Linked DNA regions of Anolis sagrei. The protein of the gene in region 2 interacts with the protein of the main gene of each other region in a pairwise test. Links are inferred from orthologs where the notes say so. Each region holds a gene or a part of one and is shown on either strand. Other genes may lie near its edges.

Region 1 (7,786 bases), on a different chromosome or scaffold from region 2:
GTCAAATTTTGATAGGGGAAAGCAAAACAAGGGCAGGATTCTGGATCTGCTATAAGGCATATATAAAATATAAATGAAATTTATGTTTAGATGTGCTGACTATGTCTATATATGCAGATACAGGTGTTGGTCCCAAGCATTTAACAACCTCATCACAAAGGGCACTCTTTGGCGACATGCACCGGCTCCGCCCTATTTCACCCATGGAGCCCACCAGCCCCCATCAAATTATGCTGGCAGGGCTCTGTGGGGGAAGTTGAATTGAGTTTGAGCATGTTTATGCGCTTCAAGTGAATTCAGTCTAGTCCGACAATAAGACTACATTTTAGTTTTCTTTTCAGAGATGCTTGCTGTAAAATTTAAGAGAGGTGAATATGTTAGTGAAGTACTATAACCAATTCTGCCAAGAACTGTAATTTGCAGTATTTGTCTGAATTACAATTTTAGCTGTGGCATTTAGTGCTGGAATACTCCCAAAGAGTTCTGGCCAGTTTAGAGGAAAATGTGGTTATTTCAAAGCACAGGAAATGAAACAAAATTCTTCTTCTGCTGGCACCTGCTTAAAGCAATGGATACAAGTATTTCCATTATGCAGATAGTCTCCATGTTGAAGGATCCAAACAGGGAAAAAAGAGAGGGGGGTTGAGAAAGAAGTAGTTCATCACTTACATGACTGAATATATAGTAATTCAAATCAAGACTATTAAGAGTTAAGTACACTAACCTCTGGTTCTGGATTAACTAATCTGTCCATCTCCCATATTCAATTGGTTTTAATCTCATATTCTGTTCAGCTGAAATATGAAGAAACATGTATTTTGATAAATTTTTATCCACAAGAAATAGAAATGGCAATATCACTCAATCCTTGAATGCAGATTCTCAAAGGCTGAGAGCATCACCTGCAGGCAGACAAACAAGGAAGCAGCCACTCTAGAAGATACCATAATACAGGGGTCCTCAAACTTTTTAAACAGAGGGCCAGGCCACAGACCCTCAAACTGTTGGATGGCCGGATTATAATTTGAAGAAAAAAAAGAATGAATTCCAATGCACACCGCACATATCTTATTTGTAGTGCAAAAAACACACAAAAACAATACAATAATTAAAATGAAGAGCATTTTTAACAAATATAAACTTATTAGTATTGCAGTGGGAATTGTGGGCCTGGTTTTGGCTGATGAGATAGGATTGTTGTTGTTGTTGTGTGCTTTCAAGTCGTTTCAGACTTAGGTTGACCCTGAGCGCGGGCCGAGTAAATGACCTTGGAGGGCCGTATCCGGCCCCTGGGCCATAGTTTGAGGACCCCTGCCATAACATTATAGGTAACAAAATTTGGTGGGTGGGGGGTTCCTGGTTTGAAAGTGTTATTCTTGTTTAATTGTACAGTACTTACTTTGAAAGTAGTGATATATTACAGAAACCTTGTTTTTGTGGCTGCCACAAAATGTGTTGAATTGGTTGAGGCTTTATGAGACATTCATAGAGCCTCAAGGTTGAGAAACGCTGATCTAGACAGAAAAAAAAGAAAACTGATGACAATCCACTATTTATTACACCCGCATAGTGATGTCAACAGACTTTACCTGCCCAGAAAATCAGAAGTGAAACAAACGGCAGAAGAAGAGAAACATGCACTGGCAGCTTATGTAAAAGGCAGTCAAGAACCAACATTGAGGGAAGTCAATAGTAGTAAACTGCTTAAAGTGCAAAAGACAAAGAGTGAATACCATAAAAACACAATCCAGAGCGGAAGAGAAAAATGGCAAAAGAAGGCTCTCCATGGACAGTTCCTGGGAAAAATTGAGAGTCAAATTGACAAAAAAATAACATGGATCCTTGCCCCTCCCGGTTGGTTAAGGAGTGCTGGAAGGGACTACGAGATCCCTTAAGGAGCATCATCAATAGTTCCTTGGAGCAACGAATTTTTACAGATTGCCTTAAAGAAGCAGTGGTCCACCCTCTCTTGAAAAAAACCAAGCCTAGACGCCGCCATACCTAGTAACTATCGTCCAGTTTCAAACATTCCATTTTTGGGCAAGTTGATTGAACGGACACTGACGGGGCAACTACAGCAATTCTTGATGAGACTGCAGGTTTGGACCCCTTTCAATCAGGCTTTCGTTCAAGTCATGGGACAGAGACTGTATTGGTAGTTATTCCTGACGAAATTTGTCGTCAGTTAGATCGAGGCAGATCAACACTATTGGTACTTTTGGACCTCACAGCTGCATTCGACACCGTGGACCATGACTTGCTGATTCATCGATTGGCTATGTCTGGTGTACAAAGTTTAGCCCTGAAATGGTTCAATTCATTCCTCCGGGACCGGAGACAGAGGGTGGAGTGGTTAGGCCAAAGCTCGGAGAGCTCCTGCCTTTGCGGTGGAGTTCCCCAGGGTGCTATCCTTTCACCCCTGTTATTTAACATCTACGTCCGGCCACTTGCTGGACTGGTGCGGAGCTTTGGCACAGAGTGCTACCAGTATGCAGATGATACCCAGCTACTCTTGCGTCTCGAACCTGGGACAACCGTGATTCCTGAGAACTTTAGGCTGTGTTTGGAAGCAGTGATGAGTTGGCTGCGAGCGAACAGACTAAAAGTGAATCCTGCTAAAACTGAGATACTCTGGCCTGGCCAGCCGCCAGAATTAATCCAGTCTCTGCCTGATTTCGATGGGGAAGCTCTGGTTCCGTCTGCCACTGTTAAAAGCCTTGGGGTTGTTTTGGACTCATCGCTGACGATGCAGGCCCAGATCACTGCCATAAGTAAGCAGGCCCTTTTTCATCTTCGCCAGGCAAGGAAATTGGCATCCTACCTTTCGGTAGAAGCATTGGCGACAGTAATCCATGTAACAATCACCACGAGGTTGCGTTGTGCCTTATATGCCGGCCTTCTGAAGTCAACAACCCAGAAGATTCGGATGGTCCAAAATACAGCAGCCAGGCTGCTAGCGGGATCATCTATAAGATCCCATATTACATATTGGCACATTCCCAACTGTAGCAAAAGAAATTTAGCTATTCACTAGTGTTGTTTATATATTCTATACCATGATTCCCTTTGGACACTATACTACCCTAGAATGAGTTGGATCCAGATAAAATTATATTTAATGCAGACCGCTTGAAATAAATGGGGTTTAAATGAGTCAGGACTAAATTAAATCTAATTGATCTCAGTGGGTCTGTTTAGTTACCAATGTTATTCAAATGTTTCTTGATTAAATACGATGTCTCTGAAAGTTGAATTAAGACCTTAGAATAGCAAAACAACTCACGAGGAAGAATGCCATGAAGTTAACAACATGGCTGATATGTTTTTATCCTACACAGAGACCAGGTTACTGAGAAACTGCCAACAGTAAAATGTTCAAAATCAAAGCAACATTCCACCAAAAGGAGTAAAGTTGTCATGGATTGTAGGTTGCTGCCAAGGTGGGCACATTTTGCACAAAAGTATATTTTAAATTGGACTTTTAACTGACATAACACAGGATTATTTCAAAACAATTTTTTTTCTGAAACCAACCTTATAAAACATAAGCACTTGATCCCACAACAGGCTATACAACTTACTGAAAGGCCCCGGTCTAATGAAGTATTGTGGGGACTGACATCTGGGGTCACGTTCCACAACACTGGGGGTAAGTTCTCACAACCATCCCGCTTCTTCAGGCTTAAAAAAGCCCAGAGGAGCAGGATGGTGCCCACTACAGTCCTCCTGGTGTGAGAAAATGGAACATTTGGATGCATTATTTTCTCATGCCAGGAGAACTGTAGGGAGAGGCCTATGCTGCCAGCAGGCCTCTCTGCCAAGTTTGGAGACCTGAATGGGGTGATGAAGGGGTGGCCTCATGTTATCCTGATTTTACTCCTGATTTGACTCTGCTCCGAAAACTCCGAAAGATTTGGGTTGGGGGTGGGGACTAGAACCTGTGCAGAAGTGGGTTACTTTAAAGTTACTCTTTAAAATGTACCTGATCTAATATGCAAATTCAATTTGAGAACAAACCTTAAAAAACCTAACTTGTTTGTAACTTGGAGACTGCCTGTAGATATATACCTGGCTGGAGTTACTCTAAAATGCACCTGTGCCAACTTACATGCAAATTCAACTTAAAACAAGTCTACAGAACCTATCTTGTTTGTAATGCAGGGACTGCCTCTGTATGCTTAATTCCTACTTTAGTGCATTCATACTTTCAGATGTAACAGTGATGGTGTTTCATGTTCTGCTAATTATCTATCTACCTCTATTGAAAACGTCAAGGTGCCATCAGGTATCAATGCATGGCCGGTTTGGAGTTTTCTTCTGTCTTCTTTCCCAATAACATATATGTATTAAATCCTTTAAACCTCTGGGAAACCTAGCATTTCATTGGCCTGGGCTAATTAACAAAATGGCTAATTCCTTTATGGTAATCCTCTTACATGCCCAGAGCTATTTCTGTCAGGGTCATCATGATCCCAAGACCTAAATCTCTATCCAGATTTATCTATCCTCAAATGTACATCAGCCAAGGACTCACATTTGCTCGAGCTTTACCCAATCAAGGACATTGTTGGTTACTCTGGGAAAAGTGGAGTGCCCAGGAAGCTAAGTATCTGAATTTTCACAAGGTAACTTTCTCTCTTTTTTGCTTGCTTCTTTATTTATTTCTAGTGATATCAATCAATTTGCAAAATGCTATATAATTTCAGAAGGAAAAAAATGATTTTGTCCTATCCTTAAAATCATCTTTCCCCCCTGTAGCTTGGAGCAATGTATGTTTTGCTGTTTTTTATTGTGTTTATCTCAGTAAAATGATGGCTCTAAAACTCATTCACATAAAGCAATTTAGCTACCACCTCACAGAAACAGATGATGCTTATGATTTGTTCAAAATTGAATTCCATGACAGTAACTTCTCACAAACTACATTATTTAATAGATGCATTTAGGATGTCAAGATTGACAAGTTAACTGGCAGTGCAATCCAATGGGGATCAAATTAGCAGTGTTGTGGTGACAGGAGCCTTACTTTTATGTCTTGTTGCACTGGATTTCTCCCACTTTCTTGCATGCTTTCTAAAAGCAGTGTCAGTTGGAGCTGGTATATATATATATATATATATATATATATATATATATATTTGTGTTCACCACTTTGTCCTCTGTTGCGCTAGCAAACAGAGCTTGCAAGCAAAGCTTCCTGAAAGTGGAAACATACCTAGACTTTCTTCTTTACATTAGTTTTCCCTCTCTCTTTTACTACAGAGTATTATTTGGGTGCTCATTTATTAAGGACTTAAAACTCACCTACTTGACAGAAAATCACACTGTTCTAAAATTATATTAATGGTTGGTGTCTTTGCCAATTAAATAATATTTAATTTAATAGTCTCGCTGATAGTTTGACAGTAAACTATATTCTGTTTCCAACTTGAAGAATCATTAATGGCAATTTCATGTGTTTGCTCAGGCATATACTTTCTTGGGTTCCACAGGACTTACTCCAAGTAGGCTTGGGCGGTTTCATTCGTTAATTTCGTAATTCGTTATTAATTCGTATTTAAATTAGCTTACGATCCAATATTGAGCCATGCAGGAATAGTGTGAGGAGTAAATTAGATTCGAAACAATTTTTTCAATTTATTTCGTAATTATTTTGTAATTATTTCATAATTATTTTGTAATTATTTCATAATTATTTTGTAATTATTTCATAATTATTTTGTAATTATTTTGTAATTATTTCATAATTATTTCATAATTATTTCATAATTATTTTCGCATGTCTGGTGCAAGTTTTATAGTTGTTGTTTGTTTTATCACACCAACAGTCAACAACAGAGGAAGAGGGAAGCTTCAGAAGTTCCCCCTGTCCCATTTGGAGGTTTTTTTTAGCATATTGCGCAATCACGTCCGCCATTAACGAATCGATTCGTAATTTTATGAAATTTCGTATATTTCAAAAATTTTAAAAGGAAAATTTCGGAATTATTAAAAAAAACGAAACGCAAGGGCCCCCTAAAAACAAAACGAGTTTAGAACCAAATTTTTCCGTGGTTACCCAAGCCTAACTCCAAGATGTTACAACTTAAATTTAAGATTGTATCATAACTAGTCTGTGATTTAGGTAGTGAGGGATCTTATCTTACACAATGGGATAAAAAGCCTAACCCGCCAGTTTGGACCATGAACCACCAATGGATTGTACCTTTGCCCATTAATCAAAGTCATAAACCCTGCCCAAATTTACTCCCGAGCAAGGATGTGAATTTTCATAGGCTTCATTTTTGCAGACAAGAAGGGTGAATTCCAATAGAGAACATTTTTCACACAAACCTGAAAAATTTGGTACAGTTCTCAGTTACTATCTTCATTTCAGTATTTGTGCAGGAAATATATTTCCTGTGCAGAAAATGTGTTACTTGTGCAGAAACAATTTTTTTGTTTCCTCTTCAAGAAACATGTTTTCCATACAGGAAAAAAAATCAGAGAAAATTATGTGCAGATAAATATTTGCTAAAGGGCAAAAATTCTCATGGCTGACTTGCCGTATACTGTTCCTCTCAACAGGATTTCACAACCATTGGAAACCTCGTTCTTACTTAGGAAATAAGTAATAATGAATATTTTTCCTTCCCTGCTTCTAAATCACAAAATTCTGTCTCAGCTTTTCCTTTTTTCTTGTCATTTCCCATCTTCATGCTGTTCTAAGTAGTCTCAACTAGTTAATGTTGCAATGATTAATGTAAAAAGCTATTGGGGTTTGTACAGATTTCCATACCCTCCAGCCGTGCCAGTTTGATTTTGTAAATTGGGAGAATCAGTATGTCTTTATTTGATTTTATTTGTAAAAGTCTGATTTGCTGTGGCCTAGTTTATATCTGTTGTGCAAGGACAGCTACATTAGTTTGAATGTTACAAAATCATAAGCAGCAGCTCTGAACAGAAGCATATCATCCTCCGTGGTAATTAAAATGACCTCTAGTTGAGTCAAAGAGAGATTACTTCTTTTTGATCATCTTGGCTTCCATCTCAAGTTTTGATATTGGTAAATTTTTGATATTTGTAACTAAAATCCAAATAAAACAGAAACATGTTATAGATATTTATTTGTGAATTTATTGTGATATTTATTTGTGATATTTATTTGTGCTACCAAATTGTGTTTAGGTGGATTCAAAATAGTTGGTGGAGGCAACAAGTATAGAGGATCTTATGGGGCTCTGCTCCTACTTGAGAGGAGGAAACAATCCTGCATATTATGTTTGATATTAGAGCACATTGCAGAAGAAATTGATGGAAGTCTTGATGCTGTCCAGGAGATCCTTAAAATTTGATGAAACACTAACTTTCACCAAAGCTGCAAAGGATGAATAAATACCAGAAACTATTATTGCTTGCTGGAAGAATTTATGGAGTGATGCTATGGACAATTTACATATCCCCCCCCCCCCCCCACACACACACACATACTGTAGTGGTCAATGGAAAATTTAGGATAATAATTGATGCATCAAAAAACTTGATAGAAGAGAATTTTAAACACCTTGGTAAATGTCCACATGACTTGTTCTGCTTCCATTTTTGGAATGTGATCCTTGGATTGGACACAGCATTAAATTCACTTATATGATTGCTTTAGGGTTATAACTTCTGCAGCAAAGTTCTGATGAATTGAAAAAAAGAAACAACAACTTCCTGTTATGATGTTCTTCCAAAAGTCTTAGCATTTGAGGATCACCAAACATCAGCATTGTCTTCTCTGATATTGGCATCCTACCATCTATAT
Region 2 (7,655 bases):
ACCCCTATGGAGTTTGCTTTGTTGTCTGTTTCCATGTTCAAAAGGTTTCACCTCACTTTCTGTACCTGTGATATTTCTATCCTATACTATCCTATACTGCCAATAATCCACTCCTTTGGACTTCACACAAATTTACCATTGGCTAAAATATACAGTTCTGTTCATTTCCATTTCTGCCCAAATAGCTTAAACATCGAGTATGAAAAAACTGTATTGTTGTAGAAACAACGATTGGCGATAAAACTGCGGTGGAAACCCCTTTTCCCCAAGATCACACTTCCAAGAGTGAATTTCCCTCCAGAAAGGTAGATTTCTCCCATTTCCAGTTGTCTCACCCCTGTTCTTAACCATGAGTCATTTGTAACTCGGGGACTGTCTGTAATAAAGTGAAGGCAGTAGGAAAAGTGGAAGGGCTCTTCCACACAGCCCGATATCCCAGAATATCAAGGCAGAAAAACTCCACAATATCTGCTTTGGACTGGGTTATCTGTGCCCACACTGCCATATATTCCTGTTCAAAGCAGAAAATTGTGGGATTTTATTCAGCTGTGTGGAAGGGGCCAAAGACCACATTCTAGATCAGTGATTCTCAACTGGTCCCCAGGTGTTTTGGCCTACAACTCCCAGAAATCCCTGCCAGTTTACCAGCTGATAGGATTTCTGGGAGTTGAAGGCCAAAACATCTCTGGACTGACAGGTTGAGAACCACTGTTATAGATGGAAGGACTCAATCATGAAACTCGAGGCCCTGAGTTTGCAAGACCCGAGGATATGGTAACTTGAACGGTCTCTTTTTCACAGAGTTCCCATAAGATGAGGGCGATCTGACAGTGGTAATAATAATAATAAGAAAAAGAAGAAGAAGAAATAATAATAATAATAATAATAATAATACTCAGTTCTTGTGGGGTTTTTCGGGCTATATGGCCAAAAAAAAACGCCATATAGCCCGAAAAACCCCACAAGAACTGAGTGATTCCGGCCATGAAAGCCTTCGACAATAATAATAATAATTTTATTTATACCAATGGTCGACACCCAGGCTGTTAACTGGCGCTCCTTACAGAGAGAGGTCAACCCTCCTGTTTAAGGAGCTCCACTGGCTGCCATTCATCTTCCGGTCCCAATTCAAGGTTCAGGTGATCACCTACAAAGCCCTAAACGGTTTTGGACCCGCCTACCTGCGTGACCGCATCTCCATATATGAACCCACACGTTCCCTTCGATCATCTGGAGAGGCCCTGCTCACAATCCCACCTGCGTCACAAGCGCGTTTGGTGGGGACGAAGGACAGGGCCTTCTCTGTGGTGGCCCCCCGACTCTGGAACTCTCTCCCCAAGGACATCAGACAAGCCCCAATGTTGGTAATCTTTAGGAAGAGCCTGAAGACCTGGCTGTTCCAGTGTGCCTTTCCAGATTAGGAAACTCCCAGCATCATGTCCCAAATGCAATTTGTTAGAGACCAGGATTGTCTGCACATTGCACCTACCTCTAAAAAACCTCTACATATCACCTGTCAAGTTCAGCACTTTTAAATTTTGTCCATTACATTTGGCCCAGCTTTTAGGTTTTAAATACGTCATGGTGTCATTGTTTTATTGATTTTGCTTGATTTTTATTATTTGCTTATGAGTTTTACTGTTATATTTGTATGTTGTTGTTGGCGGCCTTGGCCTTTGTAAGCCGCATCGAGTCCTTCGGGAGATTTGGCGGGGTATAAATAAAGTTAATAATAATAATAATACCCTGCCACCATCTCCCCAAGGGGACTCGGGGCGACTTACATGAGGCCAAACCCAACAACACATCAGTAAAACAACAAAGCAGCATGCAAATAAAACAGTACAATTAATATAACTCACATAGAAGCAGTAACACACAAAAATTTAAAACCTATGTCCATGCCAGATGTAACAGACTAAAATTTCACAATAAACACTGGGCGCGAACAGAGGCAGGATGTATCTAAGCAGGAGGGTTTTAAAGAATAATGTAGGGAGATCAACCCAATGGGTAGTTAAAGTGCTTCTGAGGATATTTTCAGGGAACTGGTCAGAGCAGGGCATTGTTTCCTTTATTCAGGGAAGGCACACTGGAACAGTGACCTTTTCCAGTGACCTGGCAGCCCACATCTTTTCTATTTGTCTTACTGTGTGCCTTCAAGTCATTTCTGGCTTATGCCAATTTTTGACATACAAACATATACAGACATACACAGAGGCTATTTAACTTTTTTTTTCTGGCCGCCAGGGGAGCTGTCGCTTTCATTGTCCATCTGCAACGCTGATGAAGCACTTCCGCATTCCCCACATGCTTCCCCGCTGGAATGCTTTTTGCTGGAGTCTTCTTTATGGCCTCATAAATCAGTTAATTTAGCCTCCCCACACTTTTTAAAGGTGGTACCTAATTTTCCTACAGATGCAACTGTCTTTCGGGTTGCAAAGGTCGACAACAGGCTACACACAATTGGTTGGAAACCCACTCCAACCCGGGCTGGCTTTCAAGAGGCTTTCTTGGAGAGAATTAGCCAAAGATGGGTTTGTCTTGGCCTTTCTATGAGGCTGAGAGAGTGTGCCTCATCTAAGGATTTCCTTGCTGGGATTCGAACACAGGCTTCCCAGGCTCATCTATATTGCATAATTACCAGTTTGACACCACTTTAACCACTTCAATGCTATGGAACCTTGGGAGCTGTAGTTTTACAAGGTCTTTAGTCCATTCCACTGGTTCCTCAATCAACTATAACGCCCAGGAATCAATGGCATTGAGTCATGTCATCACCCAAACCATTACTGTTTTTAAATGAAAGCTTTATAGCAATCCATCCTTCCCCAGACAATAAAGTCCAGCCACCAAATACAGTCAAATATGATTTGATGCCCTTCTCCCACCATCCAGATGAGGAATGACTAAGCAGCTCTAAGGATCTCCTTACCTGCTCGGGCCCTTCCACCGCCATTTTCCCCTTCGCCGGCATCCACATTCCCACAACTGCGCATGCGCGGCGCCAACTTCCTGTCTTTTTCCTGCCCTTAACCAATATGGCAGATACAAGGCATTGAAAAGGGCAAATTGTTTCAATGTAGCTTCCTCTTTAGGGAAATGCCTCACCAACACTGCTCGCCCCTACACTTCCGATTCCCGATTAGACGCTCCAGAGTATCTCAGGCCCCATCTACACTGCCATGTAATGTAGTCAGTGAAGACTTCTTCCAACCAACTGATCCCTAATCCATCTAAACTGATCCCTAACCCATCTAAAACACAGACATGCGCCTTTCACCTTAAGAACAGACAAGCACCCCGAGCTCTGAGGATTACCTGGGAAGGGATCCCACTGGAGCATTGCAGCACACCCAAATACCTGGGAGTCACTTTGGACCGTGCTCTGACCTACAAGAAGCACTGCCTGAACATCAAGCAAAAAGTGGGCGCTAGAAACAACATCATACGAAAGCTGACTGGCACAACCTGGGGATCACAACCAGACAAAGTGAAGTAGCCCTTGCACTTTGCTACTCTGCTGCTGAGTATGCATGCCCAGTGTGGAACACATCACATCACACTAAAACAGTGGATGTGGCTCTTAATGAGACATGCCGCATTATCACAGGGTGTCTGCGCCCCACACCACTGGAGACATTACACTGCTTAGCCGGTATTGCACCACCTGACATCCGCCGGAAAGTAGCAGCCAATAGTGAAAGGACCAAGGCAGAGACATCTCCAGCTCATCCCCTGTTTGGGTATCAGCCAGCACGTCAACGACTTAAATCAAGACATAGTTTTCTTAGATCTACAGAGACACTCGCTGGAACACCCCAGCAAGCGAGAGTCCAAAAGTGGCAGGCCCAAACCCAGCACCTCAATCCATGGGTGATATCAGATGAGAGACTCCCCCCTGAGCACACAGAAGACTGGGCGACTTGGAAGGCGCTGAACAGTCTGTGCTCTGGCACCACAAGATGCAGAGCCAATCTTAAGAAATGGGGCTACAGGGTGGAATCCTCGGCATGCGAGTGCGGAGAAGAACAAACCACTGACCACCTGCTGCAATGCACCCCGAGCCCTGCCACGTGCACAATGGAGGACCTTCTTGTGGCAACACCAGAGGCACTCCAAGTGGCCAGATACTGGTCAAAGGACATTTAACCAACTACCAAGTTTGCAAAATCTGTGTGTGTTTTTTTTCTTTTTAATCTGTGTGTTTGTTTTGTTCTGTTAGAATTGTAACACAATGGTATAGTTGCTGATGACACGATAAATAAATAGTGAAGACTTATATAATGCAATTCAATGCAAGTGGTATTATAGGGTAGTGTAGATGAGCCGAACAAAAAGAAAGGGTGGAGAAAGCGGAGAAGAAGAAGAAAAACCCCTCCTGCTACTTTTAACTTACATATTTTAGTATAAGTTCTTGGAGATTGTGTGCGATTCTACACAGCACAATTATAGAAGTTTGATATAATTTCAACAGCAATAGTATAGTGGAAGTTGCTTCTGGTGTGAGAGAATCAGACATTGCCCAGGGGATGCCCGGATGTGTTGCTATCAATTTGCTTCTGAAACAATCAATAAATAACAGCAATATTATATTGACTTTTTTTTCTAGTTGAATGTAAAAAGAAAAAAGAAAAAGAGAAAAAATATAGAAAGTATGTGTTTTCACATGGAAAGTGGGGGAACAATGCACTGATAGGATAGTAGAAAAGAAGAAAAGAGAGAGAAAAGAAAATATTATATATATAAATCTAAAGGTAGAATAAAAAGAAAAAAAGTGTGATTTTGATTTCCATTCTTGTTCATAGCAGTTCTTCATTTTTATTATTATTTGTGTGTGTGTGTATTATTAACCTTTCTCTCTTTTTATAGAGTGGCATCTTTCTTTTTTCTGTCCCTTGATTATGATTTTTTTCCCAATCCATCTCATTCATCTTGCAATTCTTTTGAAAGATATATTTACTTAATTTATTTCTTTACAAAGGGGATTCAGAGCAGCTTACAAGAGATATATACATACAATATATTATATTATTAGCATAGTAAACATCAGTATTAAATATTACTATATTGTACTATACCGTTATATTGTAACATTATTAGTAATATTACATAAATATATATATTATTTACGATTTTGTTTTATTTACGAAAGTTATCACAGGGGAGAGGCGGATGAGAGAAGCCTCCCACACGGATGATAAAAACATCAAATCATCCTGGCATCCCCTGGGCAACGTCCTTGCAGGCGGCCAATTCTCTCACACCAGAAGCAACTTGCAGTTTCTTAAGTCGCTCCTGACACGACAAAAAGAAAAAAAACAACAACAGGGAGATATATATATATATATATATATATATATAGTATTGTTGAAGGCTTTCATGGCTGGAATCACTGGGTTGTTGTCGGTTTTTCGGTCTATAAGCTATATGGCCAAGTTCTAGAAGCATTATCTCCTGACCTTTCACCTGCATCTATGGCAATCATCCTCAGAGGAGTGGGGTGTGTATGTGTGTGTATCTGGCGAGCACTACAGTCACAAAGAATACCAGAAGACTATGTAACATGGATAAAGCTACTATACAATAATACAAGTATGGTCCGCTGTCCTGAGGAGATTTCACCACCCTTCAACATCACTGTTAGCATGCATCAGGGATCAGTACTCTCACCATTACTATTCATACTCTGCATTGATACTGCTACAGCAGATTTGCAGACTATGCATCCCTAGACAATCCTATATGCAGATAACATAGCACTCAGCCACCAAAAGCGTGCAGCCCTCCAACGACAGCAGCAGACATTCAGTGATAGTGAATATTGACTTCAACTGAACATACCCAAAACACAGTATCTGGAATGTGGCCTTCAAACTGGAAAAACAAGTCTCCAGACCCTTGATCATTTTAGGCGCCCTCCTCTGGACACATTTTCTTAGGCATGGAATCATCTGCTGCTTCCTCTGAAATGTAGCCTTCAACTCCCGGTATTCCTTGTATTCTTGTCTCCTGGATATGTCATCAGTTGGAGACCCCTCTCCCCCCCCCCCCCCCCACCAACCGCCGCTAGGAGTGAGTACAAAGGAGGCCAGGGGACAGTTCCATCTTGTCTCCTGCATATGTCATCAGTTGGAGACCCCTCCCCCCAGCATCAACCACTGCTCTGAGCCAGAGTGAAGACAGAGGAGGCCAGGGGACAGTTCCACCTTGTCTCCTGTGCTATGCTAATCTATATAAATAAAAATGTAATGTTAGTTCGTGCTACCATCAGAACTCAAAAACCACTGGGGGAATTGACATCAAATTTGGACACAAGACACCTAACAGTCCAATTTATGTCCTCCACTAAAAAAAATATATGATTTTGTCATTTGGGAATTGTTGTTGCTGGGATTTATAGTTTACCTACAATCAAAGAGCATTCTGAACTCCACCAATGATGGAATTCAACCAAACATGGCATACAGGACTTCCATGACCAACAGAACACACTGGAAGGGTTTGGTGGGCATTGACCTTTAGTTTGGGAATTATAGTTCACCCACATCCAGAGAGCACTGTGGACTCAAACAATGATGGATCTGGACCAAACTTGGCACGAATATTCCATATGCCTAAATATGAACACAGATGGAGTTTGGAGGAAATAGACCTTGACATTTGGGATTTGTAGTTACTGGGATTTATAGTTCACTACAATTAAAGAGCATTCTGGAACCCACAAACGACAGAAATGGGGCAAACTTCCCACACAGAACCCCCATGACCAACAGAAAATACTTTAGGCCAGTGGTTCTCAACCTGGGGTCCCCAGATGTTTTTCCTACAACCCCCAGAAATCCTAGCCAGTTTACCAGCTGTTAGGATTTATGGGAATTGAAGGCCAAAAACATCTGGGGACCCCAGGTTGAGAACCACTGCTTTAGGCCATCCAGTCCAACTCTCTTCACCAGGGCAAGAAAATGTAATCAGAGTCCTCCTGACAAAGAGCCATCCAGTCATAAATATAGATAGATAGATATGATTCTCTCTCTCACACACAGATATAGTATCATAGATTTGAAAGAGACCCTTAAAGAAGGACTATGATATGTTGCATATTCTAGAGTAGGCAAACCAGACACTCTCCACATCAACACTGACAAAGAAACAACAAGAAATACTGTTTACTCACAAGCATAAAGGAATTACATATATTAGAAACCAACACTTTCTCATTTCTTTATTTTCCAGATCACCAGGCTGGGCCACAGCAACGCATGGCAGGGGACAGCTAGTATATAATATAATATGATATAATATATTGTATATACATATAATATTTATAATATTATAATGTAATACAGTATAATACTAATAATAATGATATGATATTAGAATTATATATTTTATATTACATGTGCTATTACTAATAATATTACAATATAATTGTATAGTACAATATAGTGATGTATAGCACTGATATTGTACTGTGCTAATGGTATAATGCAGGGGTCCTCAAACTTTTTAAACAGAGGACTAAGTCACAGTCCCTCAAACTGTTGGAGGGTTGGACTATAATTTGAAAAAACATGAATTCCTATGCACACTGCACATATTTTATTTGTAGTGCAAAAAACCCCACTTAAAAACAATATAATAATTAAAATGAA

Evidence for each region. The genes of interacting proteins can lie anywhere in the genome.
Region 1: the proteins of PSMC5 (region 2) and PDC interact in a two-hybrid assay, tested with the Homo sapiens proteins (2 studies listed by BioGRID). The link is inferred for Anolis sagrei from reciprocal best matches to the Homo sapiens genes PSMC5 and PDC.

The regions. Positions count from the first base shown.
Region 1 is NC_090024.1:120,520,960-120,528,745, forward strand, and holds the start of PDC (phosducin), read left to right. Parts: upstream 1-4,486; 5' UTR 4,487-4,511; coding exon 4,512-4,625; intron 4,626-7,786. UniProt on the Homo sapiens protein: May participate in the regulation of visual phototransduction or in the integration of photoreceptor metabolism. Inhibits the transcriptional activation activity of the cone-rod homeobox CRX.
Region 2 is NC_090026.1:37,887,273-37,894,927, reverse strand, and holds the start of PSMC5 (26S proteasome regulatory subunit 8), read right to left. Parts: upstream 3,025-7,655; 5' UTR 2,984-3,024; coding exon 2,936-2,983; intron 1-2,935.